2 linked regions of the Macaca mulatta genome follow. The protein of the gene in region 2 interacts with the protein of the main gene of each other region in a biochemical or structural test. Links are inferred from orthologs where the notes say so. Each region holds a gene or a part of one and is shown on either strand. Other genes may lie near its edges. The genes, in order: SEMA4A and PLXND1.

The links.
Region 1: the proteins of PLXND1 (region 2) and SEMA4A form a complex in vitro, tested with the Homo sapiens proteins (2 studies listed by IntAct, with this or other methods). The link is inferred for Macaca mulatta from reciprocal best matches to the Homo sapiens genes PLXND1 and SEMA4A.

What each region holds. Positions count from the first base shown.
Region 1 is NC_133406.1:110,764,829-110,780,917, reverse strand, and holds part of SEMA4A (semaphorin-4A), read left to right. Parts: intron 1-504; exon of another isoform or gene 505-666; intron 667-945; 5' UTR 946-1,032; coding exon 1,033-1,063; intron 1,064-1,411; exon of another isoform or gene 1,412-1,562; intron 1,563-1,612; exon of another isoform or gene 1,613-1,616; coding exon 1,617-1,841; exon of another isoform or gene 1,842-1,850; intron 1,851-2,622; coding exon 2,623-2,790; intron 2,791-4,493; coding exon 4,494-4,654; intron 4,655-6,454; coding exon 6,455-6,517; exon of another isoform or gene 6,518-6,550; intron 6,551-6,698; exon of another isoform or gene 6,699-6,772; coding exon 6,773-6,871; intron 6,872-7,086; exon of another isoform or gene 7,087-7,103; coding exon 7,104-7,209; intron 7,210-9,167; coding exon 9,168-9,284; intron 9,285-9,627; coding exon 9,628-9,752; intron 9,753-10,048; coding exon 10,049-10,221; intron 10,222-11,635; coding exon 11,636-11,786; intron 11,787-16,089. UniProt on the Homo sapiens protein: Cell surface receptor for PLXNB1, PLXNB2, PLXNB3 and PLXND1 that plays an important role in cell-cell signaling. Regulates glutamatergic and GABAergic synapse development.
Region 2 is NC_133407.1:154,355,995-154,372,083, forward strand, and holds part of PLXND1 (plexin-D1), read left to right. Parts: intron 1-1,149; coding exon 1,150-1,304; intron 1,305-1,886; coding exon 1,887-2,038; intron 2,039-2,696; coding exon 2,697-2,796; intron 2,797-2,889; coding exon 2,890-3,029; intron 3,030-3,776; coding exon 3,777-3,944; intron 3,945-4,021; coding exon 4,022-4,112; intron 4,113-4,316; coding exon 4,317-4,580; intron 4,581-4,686; coding exon 4,687-4,836; intron 4,837-5,692; coding exon 5,693-5,807; intron 5,808-7,915; coding exon 7,916-8,023; intron 8,024-8,116; coding exon 8,117-8,229; intron 8,230-9,087; coding exon 9,088-9,192; intron 9,193-9,687; coding exon 9,688-9,818; intron 9,819-10,165; coding exon 10,166-10,364; intron 10,365-12,448; coding exon 12,449-12,595; intron 12,596-12,745; coding exon 12,746-12,902; intron 12,903-13,786; coding exon 13,787-13,890; intron 13,891-13,980; coding exon 13,981-14,044; intron 14,045-15,096; coding exon 15,097-15,131; intron 15,132-15,383; coding exon 15,384-15,488; and 2 more. UniProt on the Homo sapiens protein: Cell surface receptor for SEMA4A and for class 3 semaphorins, such as SEMA3A, SEMA3C and SEMA3E. Plays an important role in cell-cell signaling, and in regulating the migration of a wide spectrum of cell types.

The sequences.
Region 1 (16,089 bases), on a different chromosome or scaffold from region 2:
AGAAATCACCCCAGAGATCTTGTTTCTTAACCTAGAGTAGGCAAAGCTCACTACCCTCCCAGCCCACGCTTGCCTTCTCTATCCAAGTGGCTCAGAACTGTGGACTGGGGCAGGAGGAGGACTGAATGACTAGGACTCTGTAGAGTCTTTGTAGCTAAGAGATTTGCTATTGAATGAGGCAGATCTGAATTCAACTTGGCTTCTAGCTGTGTAACCTCTCTTCTTGATCTGTAAAATGGGATTATGTCCGTACCTAGCTGCTAAAATTGTTGGGAGGACTAAAGCCTGATAGTGTGAACTATTCATATTGGCTAGAGGGACTGGGGAAGAGGACATCTGGAGTTGGGAGAATTCTGGATGTCTGGAGGAAGAACTGGGGGCAGGGCATGGAGTCTTTCACTTCCAGAAAGGCGGGAATAGGACATCAGGCTGGAAGTGTGGGGCTGGAACTCCCCCAACCTCCCCGTATCAGAACTCCTCCCAGTGACCCAAATAAGCCAATCTGTTTAAGCAGAGAGGCCCAGGGGAAGACCGGCTTCCCAAATCTGAGCTGGGGGTTGGGGAGACACAGAAGGTAGGGTCTGGATAAATGGGAGTTTCTCTTGATTCTAAGAAGCTGGAAGCAACCTGGCAAACAGCCTCTGGGAGAGTCTGGGGGAGTCCTAGGCAAGTCTTGACAGAAACGATTATTAGGCAGGATATGTCTGAGACCAACCCCTGGGGAAATTGAGAGAGACGAAAGAAGGCTGAGTACCTCAGATGAGGAATTATAAGGAGTAGCCTGAGCTGTAACATCCCCCATGTTGGCTGGTGCTGTAGCAGGAGGGATGGAAGTTACACTGCAGGAAGGACTTCCTGCCAGGGAGGAATGTGCATGTCAGATGGAAGTGGATTATTTATTAGAGTTGGATTAGCCCTGGGATGTCTGTGCTCTTTAACCTGCAGTCAGCTGACCGTGTTGAGTGGGCAGGAACCTACCCACTTTGTAGGCCATGGAGTTCTTGCCGCTGGATGCCTCATTAACCCTGCGTTATGAGGCTCCCCCTGGAGCCTTTGAGGAGGGGTAAGCAGCCATCTTTGGGGGTTGGGCGCCTCCAAAGTGTGGTCCAGTGAGCATGAGTTCAGATGAGAAATGTTCTGGGCTTCCTATTGGCCTGATTTTTGGGCTTCCTATTGGCCTGATGTCAAGGAGTGATGGAGATTAGACTACAAGGGGGACTTCCTCAGCAAAATCACAGATAAGAGCCTAATACAATTCTTTCATTTTTTAAGAAAGATTATGGCCTAGCTGACAGTGGGAGGTTTAAAGGTTAGACCACTGCAGGGACTTCCCAGTAGGTAGGAGTGGAGAGACCCCACCTTGTGCGTAAGTGAAAAGAGGAATATGTCATGTCCCCTATCTGGGAAATCTTGAGCAAGAGGAGAAACCACTGCTAGGCTGGTTAGACTGGCTGTGACATGATGGAGAGACAGGGGAATCACTGAAATGACCTAGAAGGGCCTCTTAAACTTTCTGGTTGGACCGAGCAAGAGGAGGGAGAGAGAGGTGTGTCTCTTGTAAGGTGGGTGAACCTCTTTTTATTCCCTCCCAAACCACCAACTTCCACCCAAGCCAGGATCTGTCACAACTCGAGAGGTGGAAATTCCGGTTTCCCTGGCCCAGAGCTCCCAGTTCTGGCTTTGGCATGATGGGCACCTGGAGGGCTGCACTCCCGTTCCAGCCAGGCTGAGCCTTCTGTCCCCTGCTTCTGGGGCCTGGGAATCCCCCTTCTTCTTTCTCCTGAATGGCACCCCCGCCCTAGAATCCAGACACCGAGTTTCCCACTGTGGCTGGTTCAAGGGTATGTGAGGTGAGATGGGTGGCTTGGGGTGGGTGGTCTTGGGAAAGATTATGTAGAGGCCCAGGGAGGCAGACACAGGAGCAAGAGACAAGGGGGCCGGGGAGCTGCAGAGGCTGGGAGCCGGCCAGCCACCCCTGCCCAGGCAGCTCCCCAGGAAATGCTGATAGCCAACCTGGCGGGATGGACCCTCATTGCCTCCCTGGAAGAATCAGGCCAGGCAGGACTGAGCCTCAAAGACCCTGAGCCCAGCTGGGGCTGGGGGAGAGGTTAGAGCAGACAGACTCAAAGGTCTGCCCACCTAGGTCAGAGCTGAGTATGAGGCACAGGTGTCAACAGATCTGAAAGTGACAGGAGAGTAAGGTCTGAGGAATTTATATTTTGGGTGCAGGAACCTGCTCCCCAAAATGTCCCCTGCCCAGAGCCAGGCCACGGTTTGGGCTTGGGCTATGAGAAGAGGGAAGGCAAAGGAGGAAAGGCAGGAAAGACGTCCTAAGAATAAGGCAAGAAAAGGCAGACCAGAGCTGTTGGTGAGAAGACAGCAGAAGAAGAAGGATAGGGGACACCCACAGGGGACAGTGAGGTGACAGGCTGAGGCTTGGAAGGATGATGAAAGTGAGACTGTCTTAGGGCCCTTCTAGATGGGGAACCTTCCCTGCCCTAATGTCCCCCCCGCCCCAACCAATACACACGCTTCTGCTGCCTGGGGCTCTCCTATTGGTCCCCAGGGGGGATGTGGTAAGAACTGCTCACCCAGAAAGTGCCCGGGTGCCTGTTTCCCCAGAGCTCCCTGGTGACAGTCTGTGGCTGAGCATGGCCCTCCCAGCCCTGGGCCTGGACCCCTGGAGCCTCCTGGGCCTTTTCCTCTTCCAACTGCTCCAGCTGCTGCTGCCGACGACGACCGCGGGGGGAGGCGGGCAGGGGCCCATGCCCAGGGTCAGATACTATGCAGGTAAGTGTATGATGGCAGCAAGTGTGGGGATGGCAATAGAGAGCTGGAGGTGGGTGGAGGAAGGAGAGAGGAACAGAGGAGAGGGGGGAAATGGACATGGAGAAACGGGGACACAGAGAGAGATGCCAGGGAGAAACAGAGGGTTTCGGAGAAAGAGACACAGCCAGAAATAGAAGTCCAAATGGAAAGAAAAGCCACTGGAGAGCAGATTGAGAAAAACAGGGGGCCACGGGGCCACGGGGCCACGGGCACTGCTTCTTCCAGTTCTCCAAAATCGGTAATTTTTCTTTACTTCCTTAAATATCACTGTCACCAAGCTGGGCACCTCAAACTCCTAACTGCTTCACACTCCCAAGTACCCCAAAATCAAGGCCCATGCTAGAAGACCATGCGTGGACCCAGTGACCCAGGGCACACCAGGCCCATGCCAACCACATAGATCATGCTGGACCATACCATGTCCAGGACTGTGGGATGGTTGGTCGGAGAATGGGCCCTGGAACCCACACGCAAGCACAGCTTGACTGGTTTCTTACTGAGACTGTGGAGGCTGCTGGTCCCCTCACCTCCAGGGAGAAGACTCAGGAAAGGATATAGACACTGCAGGAGTTGTAGGTGACTGGGCGTGGCTGTGTCTTTAGCATCTTTCTGGGGCAATCAGTAAAGGAAACGTATATTGCCCACTGATGCAGAGACCTCCTCTGTGTTGGATGCAGGGCGTACAAACATGGATAAGCCTCAGCCCCTGCCCTCAAGGTGTTCACAGTCACAAAGGGGGAAGCACATGAGCAAGCAGACCATCAATACAGGGTGATCTGTTCAGTAACTGAGGGATTTATGCAGCTTTGGGGGAGGCCTGGCTTCCGGGAGATGCTCCTCCCTGAGGCCAGCCCTTCCAGCCCGCAGCTGCACCATATTCCCCAACTCCTCCCCTCTGTCCTGTGTAAGATTCCCTGAGCCTACAAACGTATCAGTTAGCTAGTCAGCTTTCTAACTAATGCAACAGTGCAAGTGCTAATAAGAGAGGATCTGAGGAGCTCCTTCCTCCTCGCTGATGTGCCAGTGGGACAGGAACATACACCCCCACCCACCCCACAATGCCAAGGTCATGGAGAGGAGCCTCCCACACCTGGCTCACTATCTCTGCCCAGGGGACATCCAGCCATGCCCACACAGATCTTTGAAGAAAAATGCTTCCTCTCTGTTTATGGTGACTCTACTGGTGGGAATTTCCTTTAACAGAAGAGGAAGAAAGCAGGGGTGGTTGGGGGGGTGGCGAGAGGGACCCTCTGACACACACCCTCCTGTCTGCATGTAGCTTTGCTGCTTGTGGCTGCCAACACTTTCCTGTTTGTCTGTCTGCCTGCTGCTCCCCGTCCTACTGAGGACCAAGGCATCCTCCCCCATGGTAGCCCTCCCTGTCCCAGGCCTGGAAGAGCATCCATTGTGCCTCACTTTATTTCCTGTCCCCATTACTCTGTCTCTGGCTGCCTCTTCTCTCTACTGTGGGCTCAACACACAAAGCTCTTGTGGCTGCCGGCAGGGTGGGGTGAAGGGGAGAACTGCTGGTGGAGGAGAGTGGGTCTAGCTGCCAAGGCCCGGGGAGCACACTCAGGCAACCCTTCCCCTTCCCCCACTTATATCTCAGGAGTCAGCTGCCCACCAAGTCCTCATCACTCTCTCCTTCTTACTACCTCCAACAGGGGATGAACGTAGGGCACTCAGCTTCTTCCACCAGAAGGGCCTCCAGGATTTTGATACTCTGCTCCTGAGTGGTAATGGAAATACTCTCTATGTGGGGGCTCGAGAAGCCATCCTGGCCTTGGATATCCAGGATCCAGGGGTCCCCAGGCTAAAGAACATGGTAAAGAGTCCAGGGATAAAGAGTGTGGGCTGGGAGTGAGAAGGGGGCCAGCAGCTGCCCTGGGCTTGGCTGCCTGTGCATGAGTAACAGCTCAGTTGCTGCTATCTGTAATCAGCAGTTCTCTTTATATGTATATCGTGACAATATAACAGACAGGAAATGTTGTGGCCTCACTTTTTTTTTTTTTTGAGATGGAGTCTTGCTCCGTTGCCCAGGCTGGAGTACAGTGGGCACGATCTTGGCTCACTGCAACCTCCACCTCCCGGGTTCAAGCAATTCTTCTGCCTCAGTCTCCCAAGTAGCTGGGACTACAGGCACACACCACCATGCCAGGCTAATTTTAATAGAGATGGGATTTTACCATGTTGGCCAGACTGGTTTCGAACTCCTGACCTCAGGTGATCTGCCTGCCTTAGCCTCCCAAACTGTTGGGATTACAGGCGTGAGCCACCATGCCTGGCCTGTGACTTCACTCTTCATTGGTATTGTGAATAGTGATTGAATAATATTAATTGCAAAAATGGCTGATATGGAAATCATTGACATATGAGATAAACATTGACTCAAATTATGTCAACAATTTGATATCTAACCACTAGTAGAGATCACTGATGCTTCTGTGTCTTTTTTTTTTTTTTTTTTTTTTTTGAGATAGAGCCTTGCTTTGTCACCCAGGCTGGAGTGCAGTGGCGCGATCTCCGCTCACTGCAAGCTCCGCCGCCTCCCAGGTTAACGCCATTCTCCTGTCTCAGCCTCCTTAGAAGCTGGGACTACAGGCGCCCGCCACCACACCTGGCTAATTTTCTTTTTGTATTTTCAGTAGAGATGGGGTTTCACCGTGTTCGCCAGGATGGTCTCCATCTCCTGACCTCGTGATCCGCCTGCCTCAGCCTCCCAAAGTGCTGGGATTACAGGTGTGAGCCACTGCGCCTGGCCTTTTTTTTTTTTTTTTTTTTTTGAGACAGAGTCTCACTCTGTTGTCCAGGCTGGAGTGCAATGGCATGATCTCGGCTCACTGCAACCTCCGCCTCCTGGGTTCAAGCAATTCTGCCTCAGCCTCCTGAGTACTGGGATTACATGCGCCCACCACTAGGCCTGGCTAAAGAGATGGGATTTCACCACGTTGGTCAGGCTGGTCTCGAACTCCCAACCTCAGGTGATCCGTCCGCCTCAGCCTTTCAAAGTGCTGGGATTACAGGCGTGAGCTACCATGCCCGGCTGCTTCTGTCTTAGTCACCCTATTACTGGGAACAATGTGAGGAAGGAAGGAAGAAAGGGAGAGAAGGCACTAGCAATATAGTGATCACCTCCGTGGTTCGTGTATCCTGATGTGTAGTCTGCTGACCACCTGCACATATGAGATGCTGGTTAAAAATGCAGATTCTCTAAGGCGTGACCCAGGAACAAACATTTTAAACAATTTCCCCAGGAAATGTGCGGTTTGACAACTGCTGCCATATATACCATTCTTCGTGTTAGGTGTTTTGTATATGCCACCTGGTTGTATCTGCCAGTAGCCTATGAAATTGACCAAGATCTCTCAGTCAGGAAATAGCCAAGTCTAGATTTAAACTTGGGTCTGTCTGATTCCTTAGGCTGTGTTCAACTATGGAGCTATGTCTGATATCAGTATTATTCAAGTAATAGCCATGGTCACAAACTGATGCTATTACTGCCCATCAGCATATCACTAAGCACCATGCCTGCTGTTGATTTCACATCAGAGAAGGGAAGCAGGTCACAGTGAGAACCGAAGACCTCATTTCTTTTCATCTTGCCCTCCCAACTCCCTACTTTCAGATACCGTGGCCAGCCAGTGACAGAAAAAAGAGTGAATGTGCCTTTAAGAAGAAGAGCAATGAGGTAAGTGGAGGTGGGGGAGTGGGGGTAGAGTGGGTAGAGAGCCCTGGCATCCCTACACCATCCCTGGATAGCCTCAGGTTGGGCGGCAGTGGAGGGCGCTTGTTTGCATGGTTATCTCCTGGATTATGTTCTACAGAGAGGTACAGGGACTGCCCCAGCATTACCCAGCCTTTCTCCTCAGTGAGGGGGCAGGCTCTGGGGGTCCAGGAAGTTGAGGTAAGTGGCCTGGAGACCTAAATTCTCTGTCTCCCTCAGACACAGTGTTTCAACTTCATCCGTGTCCTGGTTTCTTACAACGTCACCCATCTCTACACCTGCGGCACCTTCGCCTTCAGCCCTGCTTGTACCTTCATTGTGAGTTCTCTGGTGCCCAGTGCTCAGGCCCCCAAGCATTCCTTCCCACATCTACCCTCGGCATTCCTCTGTAGCTCTGGAAAACTCTGGCCTTCCAGATGCAGGACCCTCATCAACTTCCTGGCCCCAGACCAATTTCCCTCTATGTCACTTTCCCTTCCTTCCTCAAGCCCCTCATTTCCCAGATGTGAGACCTTGGCGTTCTGGCCCCCCAGCCTCTCTCCCCATTTAGGAACTTCAAGACTCACACCTGTTGCCCATCTTGGAGGACAAGGTCATGGAGGGAAAAGGCCAAAGCCCCTTTGACCCCGCTCACAAGCATACGGCTGTCTTGGTGGGTGAGTATCAGGTTTCTCACCTCATCCCAACATCTGCTTTCTCCAGTCACGCTGTGAAATATGGAATAGTACAGAGTTTTCCGAAAGGCAGGAAAAGCTGGGTGTAGTGATGGATACGTATGGTCCCAGTTATTTGGAAGCCGAGGTGGAAAGACCCTTGAGCTTAGGGGTTTGAGTCTAGCCTAGACAACACAGGGAGATCGTCTCAAAAAAACAAAAACAAAAACACACACACAAAAACCAGACTTTAGTGCCTTATGCCTGTAATCCTAGCAGTCTGGGAGGCTGAGGTGGGTGGATCACGTGACCCCAGGAGTTCGAGACCAGCCTGGTCAACATGGTGAAACCTCATCTCTACTAAAAATACAAAAATTGGCCGGGCGCGGTGGCTCAAGCCGGTAATCCCAGCACTTTGGGAGGCCGAGACGGGCGGATCACGAGGTCAGGAGATCGAGACCATCCTGGCTAACACGGTGAAACCCCGTCTCTACTAAAAATACAAAAAAAAAAAAACTAGCCGGGCGAGGTGGCAGGCGCCTGTAGTCCCAGCTACTCCGGAGGCTGAGGCAGGAGAATGGCGTAAACCCGGGAGGCGGAGCTTGCAGTGAGCTGAGATCCGGCCACTGCACTCCAGCCCGGGCTACAGAGCAAGACTCCGTCTCAAAAAAAAAAAAAAAAAAAAAAAAAAAAAAAAAAAATTAGCCAGTCATGGTAGGGCGCACCTGTGGTCCCAGCTACTCAGGCGGCTGAGTCACAAGAATTGCTTGAACCCGGGAGGTGGAGGTTGCAGTGAGCCGAGATTGCACCACTGCACTCCAGCCTGGGCAACAAAGCAAGACTGTCTCAAAACAAAACAAAACAAAACAAAACAAAACAAAACAAAACAGGCAGAGGAAAGAGAGAGGGAAGCCAGAAGCCTCAGATCACAAGATCAGAGGGAGAATTAAGCACCCCCAATCACCAACTCCTGCTGAAATTGCCACAAAAAGTGGTGGAGAAAGATGGATGTGGAAAGACACAGAGGCACGAGGGTTCGGGAAGGGTATTGGGTAGAGAAGAGGCCTGAGAGTGAGCCGCTGTTCAACAATCGTGTGAACACTTCCTCTGGTGTACTGGGCACTGTGCTGGGTAGTATAGGAGTTATAAACAAGAAATCAGACCAGGTGTGGTGGCTCACACCTGAAATCTCAGCACTTTAGGAGGCTGAGGCGGGTGGATCACTTGGGCTCAGGAGTTCGAGACCAGCTTGGGCAATAGTATAGTCAGACCTCGTCTCTACTAAAAAAACAAAACAATAGCAACAAAATTAGCCGGACAAGTGCCTGTGATCCCAGCTACTTGGGAGGCTGAGGTGGGAGGATCGCTTGAGAAGGTCAATGCTACGGTGAGTTGTGATGGCACCACTGCACTCCAGCCTGGATGTGAGCAAGACCCTGTCTTGAAAGAAAAAAAAAGAAAGAGAGAGAGAAACCATGTTTCAATGCACTACTGGACACCAACTATTACAGACTTCCCACCTGGCTTCCTGGAGGAGATGGCCTTCGGCTTTTCCACAGGACCTTGAAGATGTAGACAGATGGCAGGGAAGGTGTTCCAGGGAGAGAAGGGTAGGACCCAAGGTGTGGAAATGGAAAACACAGTCACCTTCCAGGATCAGTAAGTGATTCCACTTGGCAAGTGGTTCAGCTAGGTATGTGAGGGAGTAGCCACAGAAAGGCTAGAAAAGTGCCCAAACACGGAGGGCCACACAGGATGGCCATTTCCTGTGGAGAGAGGAAGCTAAGAGGGGTGCTTGGTGAGGAGGGGAAGCTGGGCTTTGGGGCTCCCTAGGAAGGTGCAGAACTGATGCAAGGGCCCCAAGACTGATATGGATGCCAGCGTCGGTCAGAGGCAGGTCTGTGGAGGGCAGAGGAGCCGTCCACGCCATCAGTTCTCTCTTCTCCTCTCCCCCACCCTAGATGGGATGCTCTATTCTGGTACCATGAACAACTTCCTGGGCAGTGAGCCCATCCTGATGCGCACACTGGGATCCCAGCCTGTCCTCAAGACCGACAACTTCCTCCGCTGGCTGCATCGTAAGGACCTGACCCCCGCTGGCCCCCTTTCCTGAGTCCCGGTGACCTTGCTAATTCACTCAACTCTCATTTGTGGAAGGTACAATGTGTCCATTACTGTTAGGCGCAGGGGGTATATGGCAGGGAAGAAGACAAAGCTCCGGTCCTCTTGAAGCTTTCATCTTATGTAAACACATTAAAGAAGCACCAGTCATCCCCTCCCCACATCGCTACCCCTGGACAAGCTGTGGGACCCAAGGAAGCCTGTGTCCTGGCCTCCAGGGCCAACCCAAGGGTTTTCACTCAGGCAAACCGAGGGCATCCAGGGGCTCAGTCCCTAAGCCCATCTGCCCCTCCCCCGCAGCGGACGCCTCCTTCGTGGCAGCCATCCCTTCGACCCAGGTCGTCTACTTCTTCTTCGAGGAGACAGCCAGCGAGTTTGACTTCTTCGAGAGGCTCCACACATCCCGGGTGGCTCGAGTCTGCAAGGTCGGCGGGCGGGGCGGGGGGCGGGGCTAACTGGAGGATTACCAATAGGGAGATGGCAGGGGCGGGACTGAGTGGTGGGTCCCCAAGGAGAGCGGAGGGGAGAGGAGGGGAGCGGAGGGGAGGGGAGGGGAGGGGAGGGGAGGGGAAGGGAGGGGAGGGGCGGGGAAGGAGACCAGAGGTGCTGGGGAGCGCGGGGTGGGGCACACGGGGCTGGGGGTGCGGGGAGCACACACGGGGTTGGCGGGACGGGGACACGCGTGGCTGGGGGTGCCCCCTCATTCTCCCTGTACCCCCAGAATGACGTGGGCGGCGAAAAACTGCTGCAGAGGAAGTGGACCACCTTCCTGAAGGCCCAGTTGCTCTGCACCAAGCCGGGGCAGCTGCCCTTCAACGTCATCCGCCACGCGGTTCTGCTGCCCGCCGATTCTCCCACAGCTCCCCATATCTACGCAGTCTTCACCTCCCAGTGGTGAGCAGCAGGGCCGGACCGTGGGGACTGGACACGGGACTTGACTCCAGTGAGGCCCCGGCTCGTGGGCGGAGGCAGGAATTGACATGAGCCAGCACCTATTCAGCACTTTCACAGAGGAAGGCATTAAATTGTCACCACCTCTGAGAAATTTGACTCATGCCCTTTTTGTAGATGGGAAAAATAAGGCTCAGAGAGGTTCTAACTAGTTTATATTCTGCCTAGTTCCAAAAGGGATAGGAAGCATTTTGCAAAAGGCAAATATTAAAATCAATAAAATAGATAAAGAAATGGGAATAAAAGGAGAGTATGAGAAGCCAGGGATAAGGCCAACACACTACAAATGCTTGTCATAAGATGTAGTATAGTCCCTGGATGCCAGCCACAAATTTAGCTCTGCACTTCCTAATGGCCAGGGCAAACAGGGAAACACCATGGGTTTCATAAGATAAAGTCGGCCGGGTGCGGTGGCTCATGCCTATAATCCCAGCACTTTGGGAGGCCGAGGCGGGCAGATCATGAGGTCGAGAGATCAAGACCATCCTGGCCAACATGGTGAAACCTTGTCTCTACTAAAAATACAAAAATTAGATGGGTGTAGTGGCGCATGCCTGTAGTCCCAGCTACTCATGACCCTGGGGCAGGAGAATCGCATGAACCCGGGAGGCGGAGGTTGCAGTGAGCTGAGATCACACCACTGCACTCCAGCCTGGCAACACAGCAAGACTCCATCTCAGAAAATATAAATAAAAATAAAGTCATTGCTTGAAGGTTGAGAAAGGTTAACCGATTTGTCCAAGGTCCCTGAGCCATGGTCTGGCCCCACAGTGTTTAGGTACCTGCTGACAATGTGTGTATTTGGGGTAAGTGGGGTCTGGTATCCACAGGATCCAGAACTGAGAGCCTGGTGTATACAATAGTCAGCTTCAAGAGAGCAAGAGAAACAGACCTCCTGTCTCCACAGACCAGGGCTGAAGGAATAAAAACAGTCTGGTAGTCAGGCACTGGTTGGTTCTCTGAGGACCACGGATCCAAGAGACTGAAAGGAAGAGGGCTTTGTGTGGAGCCAGGCTAGAGCTGGTTACACTGTCCCTCCAATGGGTGCAGCCCAGTCTAGGCAGGACAGGCAGGGGCCACCCCAGGGCCTGAGCCCCAATTAATTCTCATTAAGGATAATCAGACTTCATATCCCAAGATGGGCCTAGAGCCAGGCCCTGGGCCAGAGTCAGGGAATTCCATGGGGCTTCCTTGGCCCTTATCAACACAGTGAGGGGAAGGAGTGGTAGCTGGAGGCTGGCCCAGCTCTCCACACTCTTGCCTCCTGGGCTTTATCACTGAGGGTGGGCCAGGGCTGGAGAGAGAGCTGCCTGGTATGGCAGAGACCACAGACAATGTTCCCTCTGGTTGTCTCCAGGCAGATTGGCGGGACCAGGAGCTCTGCGGTTTGTGCCTTCTCTCTCTTGGACATTGAACGCGTCTTTAAGGGGAAATACAAAGAGTTGAACAAAGAAACTTCACGCTGGACTACTTATAGGGGCCCTGAGACCAACCCCCGGCCGGGCAGTGTGAGTACTACCTCCCACACTAATCACAGTCTACACACACATGATGTGCACGGAAAAGCACCTATCATGGCATAGTAAAGGCCCAATAAATGTTAGTGCTCTCCACCCCACCAATCTTGTCTGCTCAGACATACACCTGGTACAGCTGCCTACATTCCACATGTGCCTAGCACCCTCTTATACACAGAGGAGTTGCCAGAGCCATCTCCCTTCACCAAGGCTAACTGTACACCAAATATCTGGGTATATCACTATGGAAACAAGGGAACATGGGCTGTGTGCCAAGGACTGTCTCGGGCATTGCCACCTGCCTTTATTATTTAACTTTTTAAAAAAATCAGAGACCAGGCGGGGTGTGGTGACTCATGCCTGTAATCCCAGCAATTTGGGAGGCTGAGGCAGGTGGATCACTTGAGGTCAGGAGTTCAAGACCAGCCTGGCCAACGTGGTGAAACCTCATCTCTACTAAAAATACAAAAATTAGCCGGGCATGGTGGTGCATGACTGTAATTTCAGCTATTGGGAGGCTGAGGTAGGAGAATCGCTTGAACCTGGGAGGTGGAGGTTGCAGTGAGCCAAGATTGCACCACTGCACTCCAGCCTGGGTGATAGAGTGAGACTCAGTCTCAAAAAAAAAAAAAAAAAAAAAAAAAAAAAAAATCAGAGGCCGGGCATGGTGGCTTATGCCTGTAATCCCAGCCATTTGGGAGACTGAGACGAGAGGTTCACTTGAGGTTAGGAGTTTGAGACCAGCCTGGGCAACATTGTAAGACTCTGTCTCTACCAAAAAAAATTAGCTGGGCATGGTGGCATGTGCCTGTAGTCAGCTACTCAAGAGGCTGAGGTAGGAGGATCACTTGAGCCTGGGAGTTCAAGGCTCCAGTGAGCTGTGATCATGAGAATGTACTCCAGCCTGGGTGACCAGAGTGAGATGCTGTCTCTAAAAAAGTTTTTAAATGAAAAAAAGAAAAAAAAAATCACAGCCTGGGCAATATTGGGGGGAACCCATTTCTACAAAAGAGAAAAAAATCAGAGCTATTATATGTACGTGATTTGAAGAATCAGATCTAAAATCAAATAGATCTATAGGGTTAACTACAAAAAGCAGTCTTATTTCCCATCCTCCACCTCGCCCCAAACATTTTCAACTCTTTTAGCTGATTCTTTTTAAATTTATCTCAAAATCTCTAAATAACATGCTTTTATTGCTACTTCTTGATGTTTCAGTTTCTGACAGTATCTGTTGAATTTCCATTGTAAAAGGCGAGAATTTAACTATGTTCCCCAACCCCCGTCTCCACCCAGTGGTGTGCTAGAGCTGGCTTGCAGCAGCTAGCAAGAACTGTTTTTGCACATCTTTTTCCAAATTTGTGTTCAGTGATATTATATTGGTAGCTTGAAATTAGCCATGGCGGAAGTATACATCACAGAAATCAGCAAACAATGCAAATCGGCTTTCTAACCCTCTCTCAACAAAACTGACTTGGACCAACATACAGTAACTGCACCCACCCCCAATCTCCTAATGTAATTTTCTGGTAATTTTGGTTAGATCACTATTTATATTATGACTCTTCTTATTCACAGCCGAGCCAGGTAGTAAGCCATGATTACTTTTCCTTTTTGCATAGTTTTGTTTTCCCTGGGGCTAGTAATTATCTTGACTTTTCTGCTTGCTTTGTTTTCTAAGCTCTTTATTTTTATTATTTTTTTCGAAACAGTGTCTCACTCTGTCACCCAAGCTGGAGTGCAATGGCGCGATCTCGGCTCACTGCAACCTCTGCCTCCTGGGTTCAAGTGATTCTCCTGCCTTAGCCTCCCGAGTAGCTGGAATTACAGGTGTTTGCCACCTCACCCAGCTAATTTTTGTAATTTTAGTAGAGATGGGGTTTCACCATGTTGGCCAGACTGGTCTCTAACTCCTGACCTCAGGTGATCCTCCTACCTCAACCTCCCAAAGTGCTAGGATTACAGGCATGAGGCACTGTGCCTGGTCGAAGCTCTTATCTTTAATTCAACCCCAAGCTCTTCCTAAATTATCTGAATCTCTTCTGAAGACAGACCTATTAGCTTTTCTAACAGTTTTGTCTTCCTGGAGAGCCTTCCTGTCTGCTCCAGTCTGGACTAGTGCCCTCTACTCCCGGAGCGCAGATGCCATCCTGGAATCCCCCTTCCTCATCAGCCTGGGGATTCCCCTTTGCCTCTTTCCTGTGACACATCTCGTGTTTCTTGCGTCCTATGGCTTCCTCTTTTTTTTTTTTGAATTTTCAACTGTCTCATTTTGGTGGAGGTTATCCTTTGTAGATTCCTGGAAAAGGATACATGGCAGGTAAAACATTTTAAGATCTTGAGTGTCTGAAAATGTATTCTACTTTCCTATTTGATAATTTGGCTAAGTATACGTCATTCTAGAGTAGAAACACATTTCCTTCAAACTTTGAAGGCCTTGCTTTATTATTTTCTAGCTTCCAGTGGTGCTGTTGAGAAGTCCAAAGTTATTCTGATCCCTAGCACTCTGAATGTAACCTCGTTTTATTTCACTGAAATCTTTTTTTTTTTTTTTTTAAATACTGATACTCATGGAGCAGGGCTACCGTATAGGCAGCGTGCCTCACTGCCCTCACTGCCCTCACTGCCCTCACTGGAATCTTGTAGTGCTTTTTCTTTGTCCTGGTGTTCTGAAATTTCATGGTGTTGTGCTTTGATGGAACACTACTCGTTTATTGTGCTGGGTGCTCACTGGGCCACTTCAGCCTGGAAATTAGTACTCTTAGTTCTTTCAGTTCTGAGTTTTCTTGAACTATATCTTCCTATCTTCTTCTTTTTTTTTTTTTAGATGGAGTCTCACTGTCATCCAGGCTGGAGTGCAGTGGTGCGATCTTGTCTCACTGCAACCTCCACCTCCTGGGTTCAAGTGATTCTCCTACCTCAGCCTCCTGAGTAGCTGGGACTACAGTTTCACGCCACCATGTCCGACTAATTTATTTATTTATTTATTTTGAGATGGAGTCTTGCTGTGCCCCCAGGCTTCAATGTAGTGGCTCTATCTTGGCTCGGTACAACCTCTGCCTCCCGGGTTCAAGCGCTTCTCCTGCCTCAGCCTCCCAAGTAGCTGGGACTACAGGTGCCCTCTACCATGCCCAGTTAATTTTTGTATTTTTAGTAGAGACAGGGTTTCACCATGTTGCCCAGGCTGGTCTCGAACTCCTGACCTCAGGTGATTTGCCTGCCTTGGCTTCCCAAAGTGCCGGGATTACAGGCGTAAACCACAGTGCGCGGCCTTTTTTTGGTATTTTTAGTAGAAACTGGGTTTCACCATGTTGCCCAGGCTGGTCTTGAACTCCTGAGCTCAAGCAATACACCCACTTTGGCCTCCTAAAGTGCTGGGATTCCAGGCATGACCCACTGTGCCCGGCCCTATCTTCTTTTCATTCAACAAATATTTTTTGAGGACACATGCGACTATTCTGGGCAGGGAATATAGAAGTGAGCAAAACACATGAAAGTCCTGGCCGGGCACGGTGGCTCAAGCCTGTAATCCCAGCACTTTGGGAGGCCGAGACGGGCGGATCGTGAGGTCAGGAGACCGAGACCATCCTGGCTAACACGGTGAAACCCTGTCTCTACTAAAAAATACAAAAAACTAGCCGGGCGAGGTGGCGGCCGCCTGTAGTCCCAGGTACCCGGGAGGCTGAGGCAGGAGAATGGCGTAAACCCGGGAGGCGGAGCTTGCAGTGAGCTGAGATCCGGCCACTGCACCCCAGCCTGGGCGACAGAGCAAGACTCCGTCTCAAAAAAAAAAAAAAAAAAAGAAAGTCCCGGGGCCGGGCGCGGTGGCTCAAGCCTGTAATCCCAGCACTTTGGGAGGCCGAGACGGGCGGATCACAAGGTCAGGAGATCGAGACCATCCTGGCTAACACGGTGAAACCCCGTCTCTACTAAAAAAATACAAAAAACTAGCCGGGCAAGGTGGTGGGCGCCTGTAGTCCTAGCTACTTGGGAGGCTGAGGCAGGAGAATGGCGTAAACCCAGGAGGCGGAGCTTGCAGTGAGCTGAGATCCGGCCACTGCACTCCAGCCTGGGCGACAGAGTGAGACTCCGTTTCAACAACAACAACAACAACAACAAAAAGAAAGTCCCTTCCCTCATGGGGCTTACATTCCAACGGAGTGTTTTCTCACTTTTTTCTGGACCTCCTAGACTAGTCTTCTCACTTTTTTTTTTTTTTTTTTTTTTTGAGGCGGAGTCTCACTCTGTTGCCCAGGCTGGAGTGCAGTGGCGCGATCTCGGCTCACTGCAAGCT
Region 2 (16,089 bases):
TTATATCCCAGCCCTGCCATGCCATGCCAGGCTCTAGGCCTTGGGGTCTCCATGCATACTTTCCCTTGCCTTCCTGGGCCTGATTGTTCCCATAGAAAAGAGGACACAGGCCAGGCGCGGTGGCTCAAGCCTGTAATCCCAGCACTTTGGGAGGCCGAGACGGGCGGATCACGAGGTCAGGAGATCAAGACCATCCTGGCTAACACGGTGAAACCCCGTCTCTACTAAAAAATACAAAAACCTAGCCGGGCGAGGTGGCGGGCGCCTGTAGTCCCAGCTACTCGGGAGGCTGAGGCAGGAGAATGGCGCGAACCTGGGAGGCGGAGCTTGCAGTGAGCTGAGATCCGGCTACTGCTCTCCAGCCTGGGCGACGGAGCGAGACTCCGTCTCAAAAAAAAAAAAAAAAAGAAAAGAGGACACAGTCCTTCTGCAGAGCTTGGAAGGACCTGATGAGCCGGGGCTCGCCCAGCCTTGAACGTGGCATCTGGGGTGTGGTCAGCACCCCTTGAGTGGCGGCTCTGCAGTTGCTGTGACTGTGTTGGGTCTACTCTCCAGGGGCTCCTCTGTTCATGGGGAGTCTCAGGCATCCCTGGTGGACGTGGTGCCCTCCAGATTCCCACCGTGAAGGTCCCAGAATGGCCCTGCACACCCAAGGCCCCAGAGAACCTTCCCTGCCCTCCTCCTTGAGCTACTTGGAGGGTTTGAAGCCCCCAAGTCCTCATAGCCCACATTACTCAGGGGTCCCTGGCATCCTGCGGCCCTGCCGGGGGTGATCAGACCCACTGTGGCCTGGGTGGGATCTGGCTGTGCCACCCACAGGCCTTGTGAGCTCGGGCGAGTCCCTCCTCTCTGAGCCTCAGCCTCTTCTGTGTAAAGTGAGGCTGACCCCAGGCTCCCAGCTGGAGTCTCTGTGAGGGGAAGGAAATCAGGGAGGCCGGGGCTGCACTGTGCTCAGCACAGGCCCCGGGGTTTGGGGAAGGGGCTAAGAACCTCACAGGATCCTGACGCCCAGAACCAGGACTTCCTCTGGGTGGGACACCACAATGATGGGGTGCAGACCTCTTGATAGCTGTTGAGTGTGGAGGGGACAGCGGTGATGGGGCATGCACTACAGAGCGGGGCTGACCGAGCTGCCCCGTGTCTCCCCAGTCGTGGTCTATAACTGTGCCACGGGCAGCCCCGACTGTTCCCAGTGCCTGGGCCGCGAGGACCTGGGTCACCTGTGCGTGTGGAGCGACGGCTGCCGCTTGCGGGGGCCCCTGCAGCCCATGCCTGGCACCTGCCCCGCCCCCGAGATCCGCGCGGTAAGCACGCCCAGTGGAGGCACGTGGCACCCACACTCTGGCACAGCTCATAGGCAGCATCCACAAGGGTCCCACTCCCTGGGGACTCGAACACCAACACATACACCGGCTCATGGGTGCAGTATCACCTGTGAACAGAAGGAAGTGCTCTGCCTCACAGAGCTGACGTTTCAGTGGGGGAGGTGGACAGTAATAAATAAGGAAATGAGTAAATTATAGAAGGCATTGGAAGTGTGGAGTGGAGGAAACACCGAGGGCTGAACGTTGTTAGCTTTGGGGGATACCATGATCACTAAAGCCACCAATGACATGACCAAACATTGCCCCTGGGAGCTGACCTCAGCATCCTGCAGGAGAACCCCTAAGTAACATCCCCGGGCCCACATGGGCTCAGTAATGCACACACATATCCTCCTTGGCAGCACAGTGACCTGCCAAGTGGCCACTGCCCCAGCCCCACCTGAGCCCCCAGACCTTCCTTTAAGCATGCCCGTGCCCTGCTGGGTGCCTGTGACTGTGGGCAGAAGCCTGCTGGCCTCCAGTCTCAGACCCCATTTGCCCCTCTCTCGGGTCACCTGGCAGATTGAGCCCCTGAGTGGCCCGTTGGATGGCGGGACCCTGCTGACCATCCGAGGCAGGAACCTGGGCCGGCGGCTCAGTGACGTGGCCCACGGCGTGTGGATTGGTGGTGTGGCCTGTGAGCCACTGCCTGACAGATACACGGTGTCGGAGGAGTGAGTAGCCACGGTGCCCCCACCCACCCTCTCCAGCAGTGCCAGCCTCTGCTCTGTCCTCACCCCTCCCTCCCCATCCTCCGTCCTCACTCTGCTGCTTTCTGGAAGCCTGTTGCTTCGTGGCCTCGGGGACTGTGCCGAAGCCATTCCCACCACACATCCTGCCATTTCTGCTTGGGGCATCTGCTTTATCCTTCCAGCTCTGTCTCTGATGCCAGCTCCTCTGGGAAGCTCTCACAGGCTGCCCTAGCCCAGCCTTTCTTCCACCTAAGCCTTGCTCTGAGGAAAATCATTTAAAATTAAAAAGGCTGGGGCTACTGGCATGGTTCAGAGATCTATGACTGGCCCAGAGGGGTCCTAGGAAACATGCATGAGCAGAGACTGAGCTGGCTTTCCTTTCGGGAGGCCGTGCGTCTGGCATGTGGAAGAGCCGTCATCTACCAGCCCAGCAGACGTTCTCATGATCAGAGACCGTCTTGTCCCAGCCCCTTGTCTTATAGTTGCAGAACTGTGGGAAACTCATGGGGTAAATTATACACAGAAGGCATTGGAAGTGTGGTGTGGCGTGGAATGGGGCAATCCCTGAGCCTGGCTCCAGGGTGGCCGTGGGGGCTGAGGACTGCTGGCCGCTCTCACTGACCACAGCACCTCCCCTCAGGATTGTGTGTGTCACGGGGCCAGCCCCAGGGCCACTCTCAGACATAGTGACTGTGAACGCCTCTAAGGAGGGCAAGTCCCGGGACCGCTTCTCCTACGTGGTAAGGGGGGCTACAGCCCACTGTCCCGCCTGCCCAGCACACACGCTCCCGGGGGGCTGGCCCAAGGCCCAAACACCTGCCTTCCTCCCACAGCTGCCCCTGGTCCACTCCCTGGAGCCTCCCATGGGCCCGAAGGCCGGAGGCACCAGGATCACCATCCACGGGAATGACCTCCATGTAGGCTCTGAGCTCCAGGTCCTGGTGAACGACACAGACCCCTGCACAGAGCTCATGTAAGCCTCTGGGCCTGACCCACCCCTTCTAGTCCAGAGAAATCAACGGGCTTGGGGGCTGGTGGGCTGGAGGTGACATCCTTGAGCCAAGCCTCACCTGAGTCTTCATTGGCTGTGTCCCCTAAGCCAAGCCACTTCTCTCTGAGCCTCAGTTTCCTCAGCTGTCAAGAATAGTACCAGTAATTGGAAGAAGGGCTTTTTGTGCTAGGTATACAGTAGATGCTCCATAAGTGATAGCTGTAATGAGAATGGTGTTGATTGCACACATTCAGATCTTCTGGCTGGCCCAGGGGTGTGGTGAGTGGCAGGGGTGTGGTTGGAGTCTCTTGGCGAAACACCTTTGTCTTTATTATGCACTTATTGTGTACCAGACCCTACTAATGGGCATTGCTGGGACACCAAGAGGAGCACAACATAGCCCTCAAGGGAAGGGCAGACACACCCACAGGAATTAGGAACATCCAGTGGGATTGGGAGAAAAGTCAGTGCCTTCAGGGATCTAGGGAGAGAGGTTTCACCAGGGGTGGAGGCGGGAGAGAAGACCTGGGAAGGCTTCCCGGAGGAGGTGGGATGGGGCAGAATTTGGAAGTATAAGGAAACAGCTAGGTGCTAAGATGAATTGGGACCAGTCAAGGAGGCCTTGAACCCCGGGCCAAGTGCATGGGCCTGTGCCCCAGGTCTCAGGGGCATTGGCGGTGGGTGAGCAGCAGGAGGCAGGCCCTGCTGATAATCTGCTGCTCCCCCAAGGCGCACAGACACCAGCATCACCTGCACCATGCCTGAGGGGGCCCTGCCGGCTCCGGTGCCTGTGTGTGTGCGCTTCGAGCGTCGGGGCTGCGTGCACGGCAACCTCACTTTCTGGTACATGCAGAACCCAGTCATCACGGCCATCAGTCCCCGCCGCAGCCCTGTCAGGTAAGACTGGCACCCCGCCCTTCCCTCAGGCTCTCTGGGGCTGCAGGTGGACTGATAGGTTTTGCCGTCCCCCGCAGTGGCGGCAGGACCATCACGGTGGCTGGTGAGCGTTTCCACATGGTGCAGAATGTGTCCATGGCCGTCCACCACATTGGCCGGGAGCCCACGGTGAGGCAGTCAGGGGCCTGATGGCTGGGAGGGGGTGGCCCAGGCACAGCCAGGGCCCTAACTGACCAGGCCTCCTCCCACTGCATCTCTGTCCCCTCTTCCTCCCTCTGCCTCTGTGTCTCCTCAAACCCCACTCCCCCCGTTTCTCCATGTCCATCCGTCCATCCTGCACCCCGGTCTTGGCCCCTGGCCCTCATGCCCCAGCTCTGCAAGGTTCTCAACTCCACTCTCATCACCTGCCCGTCACCCGGGGCCCTGAGCAATGCATCGGCAGCAGTGGACTTCTTCATCAATGGACGGGCCTATGCAGACGAGGTGGCTGTGACTGAGGAGCTACTGGACCCCGAGGAGGCACAGCGGGGCAGCAGGTTCCGCCTGGACTACCTCCCCAACCCACAGTTCTCTACGGCCAAGAGGGAGAAGTGGATCAAGCACCACCCCGGGGAGCCTCTCACCCTCGTCATCCATGTGAGCATGGAAGGGGCCAGGGTAGGCGGGGGCAAGCGAGCCAGCCTCAGCCATGGGCCTTGGGAGCACTTCCCCACACCACAGTTCTCCCCCTTTGCACCCACAGAAGGAGCAGGACAGCCTGGGGCTCCAGAGTCACGAGTACCGGGTCAAGATAGGCCAAGTGAGCTGTGACATCCAGATTGTCTCTGACAGAATCATCCACTGCTCGGTCAACGAGTCCCTGGGTGCAGCCGAGGGGCAGCTGCCCATCACAGTGAGTGGATGGGGTGCCGGAGCAGGGCAGACCCGGCCCCCACCCCTGGCCCATCTGCCAAGCATCTGCCCGTTACCCAGCACCTGAATTCACTGAGCGTTTTCATGCTCAATAGCTCAGTCCAGCAAAGCAGAGCTTTATATCCCCACTTGACAGATGAGGAAACTGAGGCCCAAGAACTTAGTGACTTGCTTGAGGTCAGTGATGGGCCCCATCTGGACCTGGACCATCAGAAACCATAAGAAGTTGTCCCTACGCCACTTGGTGTCTGTCCTAGAGCCTGGGCTGCCAGGCACCATGTAGAGGCATGGAGGGCAGGGGAGCAGGAGGAGCAGAGAGAGGCCAGAACGTGGGATCTTTTCTGCACTGTATCTCGTTGCATGCCTCCTGGGATGGGGAGCTCACTCTCTCCCAAGCAACATGTGCCACCCCAGGATGGCTCTGACTGGGAAAGCTTCCTTTTACCTGCACCTCAGTCCCAGTCCTGCCCTCTGAGTCATCATACCTCACCTACCCCCTGGTCTCAGGGCAGCCCTGCAGATACTTGGGGACAGCAGCCAGGCCCCGTGAACTGCTTCCTCTGGCTCACTCACTACTCCTCCCAGGCTGTAATGATAATCACAGCCCCCTGTATTGAGCCACCTCTGTGCCAGGCCCAGGACCAAGGGCTTGACAAGCCCTCATTTAGCCCTCCCAGTGTCCCCAGGAGGTGGACATTGTTATCTCCATGTTATCAATGTGGCACCTGAGGCTCAGAGAGGTTAGGTAATTTACCCAGGGCCACACAGCAAATGAGGAGCAGAACCAGAGTGTAAGTCTAGGAGAGCTACAACCCCTCTCCCCAACCTCTACACAGATCCAGGTAGGGAACTTCAACCAGACCATCGCCACACTGCAGCTGGGGGGCAGCGAGACGGCCATCGTTGTGTCCATCGTCATCTGCAGCGTCCTGCTGCTGCTCTCCGTGGTGGGTAAGGAGCCCCATCCTCAGGACACCTTGGAGGGCAGGCTTGCCACCTTGCCCCAGCCCCTCTGAAGATTGGCAGATGGAGGAAGGCAGGATGGGATGGGGCACAGCTTGAACAAAGGCTTGGCCACGGGAACAGGTTAGGCACCCAGAGGTCGGGGGAGGTGTGCCCCTCTCCAGCACCAATGGGTAGAAGATGTTAGATGGCTGGGGGACATGCTGGGCCCAGGCCAAGGTCCCTGAATCTCAAGCAGAGAAATTTGGAACTGTGTTCTCCAGTCAATAGAGAGCTACTGAAGGTACTTAAGAAAAGGTTACTCAGGGAAAATTAACCTACATGTCTGGTGGGCTGTATTGCTGTTAAAATAATGGTCATGAAAGTAATAGACTCGACGTAGCAGAGAAACTGGAGCCGTCATACACTACTAGAGGGAATAAAACAAAGTGCAGCCGCTTTGGAAAACATTTTGGCAGTTTCTTAGAATGTGAAACATAGAATTACCCTATGACTTACGAGCCAGCAGTTCTACCCCTAGCTATCTGTTCAAGAGAAATGAAAACGTAGCCACACAAAAACTTATACACACGTGTTTACAGCAACATTATTTATAATAACCAAGAAGTCAAAACAACCCAAATGTCCATCAACCAATAAATGGATAAATGAAATATGATCTATTCATACAATAGAAAATTTTCCGTAAAATATGATCTATTCATACAATGGACAGTTATCCATAAAAAGGAGTGGAGTACTGATCCATGTCACCATGGGCATGCACCTTGAAAATATTACACTAACCGAAAGAAGACTCACCGAAGGCTGCATATTGTATGATGCCGTTTATATGAAATGTTTAAAATAGGGAAATTCAGAGAGACAGAAAGCTGAATGGTGATTGCCAGGGACTAGGGAGAGCATGAATGGGGAGTGACTGCTGAATGGCTACGGGTCTTCTTGAGGCAGTAAAAATGCTCTAAAATTAGTGGTGATGGTTGCACAACTCTGTGAATATACTAGAAACCATTGAATTAGGCCAGGCGCAGTGGCTGGTGCCTGTAGTCCCAGCACTTTGGGAGGCCAAGGTGGGTGGATCACTTGAGCCCAGGAGTTCAAGACCAGCTTGGGCAACATGGCAAAACTTTATCTCTACAAAAAAATACAAAAATTGCATGGGCATGGTGGCACGAGTCTGTAGTCCCAGCTACTCAGGAGGCTGAGGTGGGAGGATCACCTGAGCCTGGGAGGTGGAGGCTGCAGTGCGCTGTGATCGTGCCACTGTACTTCATTCACCCTGGGCAACAGAGTAAGACTCTGTCTCAAAACAAAAAAGAAAGAAAAGAAACCATTGAAGTATACACTTTAAATCACCGGATTATATGGTATGTACATTATATCACAATAAAGCTGTTTTATTTTTAAAGTGAGTATATTCAATGCAGAAAATTTTTGGAAAAACTGAAAGATGATAAAAGGAAAAAATACCCATCATTAGTACCCTGTGTATTTTTGTATATTCCCTCCCAGTCTCTTTTCTGAAAATACTATATATTAATAGATATTTTAATACATTATATATACATTCCTCCCCACCCCAGAAAAGGTTATAATGTAATACTGCTTTGTAATCTGCTTTTAAAAGTTTCTTAATTTACAAGTAACACCTGGTCATTGTAGAAGGAATAGAAAATGCTCAAAAGCAGAAAGTAAACAGAAGTCACCCAGAATCTTCCCACCCAGGAAAGCCGCTGTTAACCACTATTTCACACACACACGTATTCCTGTTTCTTTTTCTTTTTTTTTTAAGGGGGCTAGACAAATTCTAACAGAGCTGTAACACTACACATTTCTTTTTCTAAGAACAGGTCATCAGGCATTGCTTTGCTGGCCATTCCCCAAGCCCTCTGCCCATGGGAGAGCTCCCTGCAACTCCCCACCCCCAACCCCAACCCTGCCCAGGAGGGAGGACTGCAGGGCCTCCTCCCACACCTTGCCCAGAGGAGCTGGAGCTGAGGCCAGCGAGCAGAGCCCCAGGCCCTGCATACAGCAGGTGCCAATAAAAGCTTTTCAAAGGGCACTAGAGGCCTGACCTGCCTCTCCACTGCCCACAGCCCTATTCATCTTCTGTACCAAGAGCCGACGTGCTGAGCGTTACTGGCAGAAGACGCTGCTGCAGATGGAGGAGATGGAATCTCAGATCCGCGAGGAAATCCGCAAAGGTAATGGGCTGGGACCCTGCAGGGCTGGGCCTCCACTTTCCCTCCTGGGGGATGGGTTCTCGGGCCACTCATGGCTGTCCGCGTGTCCGCCAGGCTTTGCTGAGCTGCAGACAGACATGACAGATCTGACCAAGGAGCTGAACCGCAGCCAGGGCATCCCCTTCCTGGAGTATAAGCACTTCGTGACCCGCACCTTCTTCCCCAAGGTCAGCCCGAGCCTGAGTCTGCCCCTGAACCTGTGCCAGCCACCTCAAGGCAACTCAACCTCTCTGAGCCCTGCCAGCCTAGAGGGTCCCTTGAGCAGTGCCAAACCTGCACAGCTGTCCACAGCCGTCCTGGCCACTTGCCCTGGCCTGCCACGGGGTGGAGGGTTGGAGGCAGATTCTTCACTCTTATTCTCTGCTCACTTGATGTTTAACTGTCCACACGGAAGCCAGCTGTAGCCCCACTCTCCTGGCCAGCTGGGCCTTCCTCTCCCCTTTTCAAGGTGGGGCAGAAGTGGCCAGGGCTGTCCCATGCCAGCCTCTCTCCTCCCTGTGCCTCTTCCCAACCAGGCTTCACTTGGTCTCTACACTCCCTCCTCCTGTCCAATGGACTCCTGCCCCACCCCTTCCATGCCTGTCACGCCTCCCCTTGCCCTTCCAGGGTCCACTGCCCTCGCTCCCTCCTGGTGGTACCACCCTCCGTCCCCTGTCCACACCATTCCCCACAAAGCGGCCAAAGCAAGCCCATGTTTGACTACATCATTTTTCACGAAACTCTCCAGTGGCTTTTCCCAGCCTCAGGCTAAAGCTCAGACTCCCAACCTCTCTGCCTCAGTTTCCCCCATTGCACATGGAGCTGCTTTTGCTTCCCCTTAAGCCTTGTGCTGTCTGGTGTGGCCATACTCCTGGAATTCCACAGCCCCCGGGCGTGGCCCACTGCCTCTTATTCCTTTATGGGGAGCTAATTCTGTGCCAGTTTCCCCCAGCAGCCCAAGCTGGTGCCCTTTCTGTATGAGTGACCTTTGCATGCCAGCAGGGGGTGTCCAGCCCCACTGAGATGCTGGGGGTCTGTCTCTGCAGTGTTCCTCCCTTTATGAAGAGCGTTATGTGCTGCCCTCCCAGACCCTCAACTCACAGGGCAGCTCCCAGGCACAGGAGACCCACCCACTGCTGGGAGAGTGGAAGGTGAGTACCCCCCAACCCACACACAGTGGGCTACTTCCAGGCAACCCTGCTCCTCCCTTTCCAGTTCATCTAATCCATTGATCCTTGTCATGTGGAGGCATCTGCCATTGTAAGGTACTGAGGCCTCCATCCCAGGAGGCATTCAGGCAGCCATTCAGGGTGTTCTAAGTGCTGCCCCCCAAGGCCAGGTAGAGCAAACAGAGGATTGGACCCCCTCGTACACCCACTCCGCCTGCTGCTTAGAAAATGGAAGGTGAGAGTCCCTCACACTGGGATGCCAGGTTATCTTCAGGCACCCTCACCCTTCTCTGAGCCCCACTTCTCAATTCAACCAAGCCATTGTTCCCTGCCACAAAGGTTAGGAGGCATCCACCATGGAAGGTAATGAGCTCCCCATCCCAGGAGGCATACAAGCAGCCATCATAAGCACTGGCTGTTAGGCTAGGCAGGGACACTGGGCCCCTCTGGACACCCCATCACCAGTTGCTCCCACAGATTCCTGAGAGCTGCCGGCCCAACATGGAAGAGGGAATCAGCTTGTTCTCCTCGCTACTCAACAACAAGCACTTCCTCATCGTCTTTGTCCATGCGCTGGAGCAGCAGAAGGACTTTGCGGTGCGCGACAGGTCAGGCTGTGATGGACTGGGGTGGGGTAGGGAAGAGGAGCCTGTCCAAGGCCACACAGCATCAGGTCCTAGGTCCTGGGGCTCTGGGGCTCCTGACACCCCCATATTCCAGCCCTTCCTGGGCCTGGATGCCCGAGACCTTGGCTCACGGGGCACGGTGGTTGCTGCGGACATAGAAGAAGGTGGTGTTTCTCCGGGAGGATTCCAGCCCCACTCACCCCTCGCAGGACCCACCCACACAGGCACTCCTGGGACCGCTGGGCCCAGGGATGAGGCGGCACTGAGACCCTGGGACCCACAGCTCCTAGGGCCTCAAGGCGCAGCTGACACCTGCCTCCTGCTCGCAGGTGCAGCCTAGCCTCGCTGCTGACCATCGCGCTGCACGGCAAGCTGGAGTACTACACCAGCATCATGAAGGAGCTGCTGGTGGACCTCATTGACGCCTCGGCCGCCAAGAACCCCAAGCTCATGCTGCGGCGCACAGAGTCTGTGGTGGAGAAGATGCTCACCAACTGGATGTCCATCTGCATGTACAGCTGTCTGCGGGTGAGGCCGCCCGGGGACAGACAGAGCCCAGGCGGGGGCTGTGGCAGGGACGCGGCAGCAGTGACCCCACGGCCTCCCAGGCCTTCCCTGGCACCCTCAGGCCAGCTCTGCCAGGAGGGAGTGTTGCATGAGACAGGCCAGGCTGTAGGGCCTGTTATGCAGAGCGGGGAGCCGTGGCCCAGGGGAGGCCTGGCTGGCTTGCTGCAAGGGCTCAACAGATGCTTGGGGCATAATAGAGGTTGTGTCAGGGGCCTTGTCCCATCCGTGGTTTTCTCAGTCATCCACCCTTCCCTGCTTTGGATTCAGGAGATGAAATCAGCCCCTGGCTGGCCCTTGAGGCTCTCCTAACCCTAAGGGTGAGACGTGGAAACAAAATACAGAGTGGCCAGTGCCTTGCAGCAGAGCTCAGCTCATGAGGCCTCCATCTGTCTGGAGGCTTCAAGGTGGCTTCCTGGAGCAGGCGACCCTGTGCTGAGACCTCAGAGAGTGGGCCGGGCGAGGATGGTGGGGAGGGTGCTCCAGGCATCAGGTACAGCAGGAGGGCAGAGGCCAGGAGGAGGGGATGTTCATGGAAGGAATGGAAGGAAGGCCAGAGAATCTTCCAGATGAGAGCAGAGGCTGGGAAGAGGGTGGGCCTGGTAGGCAGGGCCTCCTGCCTTCTGCCAGAAGGACCCCCGTAAGCTCTCTTCTGCAGAGCAAGGGTTGCTCAGCCTCTGGTCTTGTCCCACCGTCCAGCTGCCCTACAGTGCTGGAGGCTAGAGGGCTGCCTGGAGGATTGTGGGAGAAAGGCAAAGGCCTGCCTGGAGCCCAGAACCAGGGCCTCAGATGTTCTGTTTTGTTGTTGTTGTTGTTGTTTAGTTTTTGAAGAGATGGGGGTCTTGCTTTGTTGCACTGGCTGGTCCCAAACTCCTGGCCTCAAGCAATCCTTCCGCTTTGGCCTCCCAAAGTGCCAGGATTACAGGGGTGAGCCACTGCACCCAGCCAGGATGTCCTGGGCTTGAGTCTGATCTTTGGCACATCCCAGCTGTGTGACTCTGGGCTACTCATTGCCCTCTCTGGGCCTTGGTTTCCTTCTGTCAAATGGGGCCTCTGCCCCTGAGCCGGGGGCTTGAGGGAGCCCCACGGCCCCTTCTGGGGGAAGGGGGTAGTGGGGTGGAGCAGAGGCAGGGCCTGCGAGGGGCCATCGGGGTGCTTTCACCTTCCGCGGGCTGCCTCACTGTGGGCCATCAGGAACCACAAGGGCCACTGTGGACCCTGGACCTTACTCCCCTGGCTTCTTTCTGTGACCTCAGCCAGGCCTTCCCCTATGAGCCTGTTTCCTCCTCTAGAAAGCAGGGAATCAGTGCCTCCCACGCCCCAGACCTGGAGAATTGGACCAGGACTTGGGCTGGCAGGCTGCCTTCGTAATCTTTGCCAAATCTGCCTAATACTATTATGTACTTAATTTTTCTTTAAATCAATTTTGGTGGGTAGTTAAGTAAAACTATCCCAGTAGAACACCTGGGTCCCTTGCTGGACAATGGCCTTGAGAATCAGCTCATGGCTGTGGGTCCAGCAGAGCCACTGCCTGGAGGGCCACCCGTGGAGATGGGCAAGAGCAGGGACTATGAGCCTCATTCCGCCTGAGACTCCACGGTCATCAGCCTGCGAGTGGGGTCGAGGCCACATCGGTGTTCCGGGTCCACCTAAACTCACCCTTGGGGCCACCCACTTAGGAGAAAGTCACAGGCTTGGGAGTCAGCCGAGCCAGGTCCGATTCCTGCCCTGCCGCTTCCCAGCTGGGTGACCCTGGGCAGGTCACTTGCCCTCTCCGAGCCTCGGCACTGTTGGCTGCACAGTAAAGATGATACTGCCTATCCGGAAGGGTCGCTGGGATGAGGCAATGAATGCCCCCACCCACAACTGGTGCTGTTTAATGAACACAAGCTTAGGGTCCATGGAGACACCCTGGAGAGGAGAGTGTTACACCAGGATCCAAAAGGAGACTGAGGGGTGGGGGGACGGGGGCGTGAAGGTGTTTGGCCCAAGGCGTGGGGGCTGGAATACAGAGGGGACCTTGGCCCTGATACCCCCGTGCACCCCAGGAGACAGTGGGGGAGCCATTCTTCCTGCTGCTGTGCGCCATCAAGCAGCAAATCAACAAGGGCTCCATCGACGCTATCACGGGCAAGGCCCGCTACACACTCAATGAGGAGTGGCTGCTGCGGGAGAACATCGAGGCCAAGCCCCGGGTGAGTCGGCAGGGTGGGGAGGGTCCCAGGGCTGGTGCATCTTGGCCTACGGCATTGACCCAGCCTTCCTGGGCAGGGCATGGCTGCCTGGGTACCGGCATAGTGATGGCAGCAACTCACTGACCTTTCTCTCCCACTCTCCCCTTGCAGAACCTGAACGTGTCCTTCCAGGGCTGTGGCATGGACTCGCTGAGCGTGCGGGCCATGGACACTGACACGCTGACACAGGTCAAGGAGAAGATCCTGGAGGCCTTCTGCAAGAATGTGCCCTACTCCCAGTGGCCGCGTGCAGAGGACGTCGACCTCGGTGGGTGGGAATGGGGGCAGAGACCCCGAGTCAGGTGCTTCAGCCGGGGCTAGCCCCTGCCTTGACGGGAAACACTCCTTTCACCTGGCATGGGTGCATGAATGTGGGGACACTGAGAGGATCCAATGAGGCCCCCTCGGCAGAAACAAAGGGAGACAAGTCCTGCAGTGTGAGTGAGCTACAGACAACAGCAAAAAGCCTTCAGGAAAGGCTTCCTAATTCCTAAAGGAGGGATGCTGGAGTGGGGTTTATTTGTTTGTTTGTTTGTTTGTTTTTGAGACAGGATCTCATTCCGTCACCCAGGCTGGAGTGCAGCGGTGCAATCTCAGCTCACTGCAGCCTCCACCTCCTGGGTTCAAGTGATCCTCTCATTTCAGCCTCCTGAGTAGCTGGGACTACAGGTGTGCACCACCACATCCAGCTAATTTTACTTTTTGTAAAGATAGTGTCATGCTATGCTGCCCAGGCTGGTCTTGAACTCCTGGGCTCAAGCGATCCTCCTGCCTCAGCCTCCCAAAGTGCCGGGATTACAGGTGTGAGCCACCACGTGGGGCCTGGAGTGGGTTTTATAGGATTCTGGGTTAGGCCAAGGGTTTCATCAGCAATTGTAACATTAACAACCCTGCAGACAAGGCCATTTCCAGAGCTCCTCCTCTGTGCCCTCCACCCTGGCACCTTCACTGTGTACCCTCACATTCTCTCCCCCAGCTCTTTCCTGCTCTCTCCGTTTTATGGATGGGAAAATGGGGGCTCAGAGAGAGGTATGGCTTTCCTCATTTTCCATGGAGAAAGCGAGAGGCCTCTCCCTGTGTGACTGGGCCAGTAACCACCCCTCAGGCCCAGCTCCCTGCCCAGACCCTGATGGCCTGCTCCTTGTCCCCCAGAGTGGTTCGCCTCCAGCACACAGAGCTACATCCTTCGGGACCTGGACGACACCTCCGTGGTGGAAGACGGTCGCAAGAAGCTTAACACGTTGGCCCATTACAAGGTGCAGCCCTGCCCCCCTGCCCTGCTTCCCCACCCTCATGCCCCCACCCCGACCTCCAGCCTCTGACCTCGGCCTCTCCCCTCCCATCAGATCCCTGAAGGTGCCTCGCTGGCCATGAGTCTCATAGACAAGAAGGACAACACACTGGGCCGAGGTAGTGCGGGTGCACGTGGGAAGGAAGCCTAGACTGCATGTGGACGGGGGCTTCCATCCCATGCCCCTGTGGGGAAACTGAGGGTCCGAGAGTCACGGCTGGCCTGGGCTGAGGCCTCCTTGGTGGAGACTGGGCGGGGCCAGCCTCCTCTGACCCAGTACTGCTGGGGCAGGGCCCACACCAGGCCTCCTCAAGCTGATTTCCTGCGGCAGCTGGAGAGAGGCCCCGGGAGGGCGGGCTGCAGTTCCGGGAGGTCTGGGCAGTGGCCAGGCCAGAAGGGGGGCCAGCATGCCCGTCTCAGCCTTGGGCCATGTCCCTGCCTCAAGTGCCCCCTCCACAGCCTCAGACGCCCCAGGCACAGCCGCCTGGCTGCTAGGCCTGCCAGCCCGGGCTCCTCTGGGTCTCGGGGTCCCCTCCTAAGGTTGAGAGCAGAGTCTCGGTCTCTCCCAGCAGCCTGGGAGTCTGGGCTGGCAGGAGCTCTGGGCTCAGGGGTGGGGTGGGTGAAGGAAGCCACCTCTGCCTGCCTGAGGCCTCTCCTCCCCCGTGGCTGCATCTTTCTGTTTCTCTCCACCGCTGTTCCTCCCTCCAAGTCCCTCCATCCCTGTGGTCACTGTGTGTGTGTGTCTTTCTCTCTCTGCCTCACTGTCTCACTCTCTGTGTGTCTCTGGATCTCACTTATCTCTCTCTCTGTCTCTCCCAGACTCAGTCTCCCCATGAGTCTCTGCATCTCTGTCTCATTCTCTCTGCCTGTCTCTTTGGATCTCTGTCTCTGTTTGTTTCTCTCCCCATCTTTCTGTCTCTGCTTCTGTTTCTCTCCCCATCTTTCTGTCTTGTTTCTGTTTCCCTCTCCCCATCTTTCTGTCTTGTTTCTGTTTCCCTCTCCCCATCTTTCTGTCTTGTTTCTGTTTCCCTCTCCCCATCTTTCTGTCTTGTTTCTGTTTCTGCCCTCTTTTTCTGTCTTTGTTTCTGTTTCTCTCCCCATCTTTCTGTCTTCATTGCTGTTTCTCTCCCCTCCTCTCCCATGTTTATTTATTGTGTTTTTCCTCTCGCAGTGAAAGACTTGGACACAGAGAAGTATTTCCATTTGGTGAGTGCCCAACCTCGGCCCCAGGGGATCCAGCCCCTCAGTGGGTGTGGCCTTGGCTTTCTGTGGCCCTGGGCCTCTGGGAAAAGTGCTCCCGGCCCTGAGAAAGGCTGGGGGTGGGGGAGTAGGGATGGGGCCCAGAATCAGGAGGGAACCACAACCCTTGTGTGCTAAGAAGCATGGCAGAGCCAGACCTCCCACAGGCGGCCGAGAGTGGGGCCTGGTGCGGACACTGACCACTGCCCGGCTTCCCAGGTGCTGCCCACGGACGAGCTGGCGGAGCCCAAGAAGTCTCACCGGCAGAGCCATCGCAAGAAGGTGCTCCCAGAAATCTACCTGACCCGCCTGCTCTCCACCAAGGTGGGTCCGGCTTCAGTCTCCCCTCCGTGCAGTGGCTACAAGGCTCCAGCCCCAGCCCCAGAGGGTCGTTGCTCAGGGCCAGCTGTGCACACACGGCTGGAAGAGGGGTGTGAGTTCTTCCTATTCCCCCTGTGGGGCTGGAGGGGCAAGAGGCTGAAGGCTTAGGGTCCCACTTGAGGCATTTCTCACAGCCAGGAAAAATGCCTGACAGACACTTCTATGTTAGCCCACGTAACAGGGTACAGCAGAGGCCCAGAGGGGTCAGTGATGTCCCCAAGGGCACGTGGCTCAGTGGCAGCGCTGGCACCCCACAGCCCATACTCTGGTGCCTCCAGTTCTCGACTACATGTGCCAATGCCTTGATTAGTCCTTTCAACGCCTCTGTGAGGCAAGTTTCGGATGCTGAGGCCGGAGAGGCTCGGTGACCAGCCTGACGCCGCGTGGCTCCCTCATTCAGCAGCCTGGGCATTTCAAGCTCTGCAGAGCCACCAAGGGTGCCCACTAGCCCTCTGCACGTGGCCCGGGGCTGACGGCGGCCACCCCACTCCCCCGCAGGGCACGCTGCAGAAGTTTCTGGATGACCTGTTCAAGGCCATTCTGA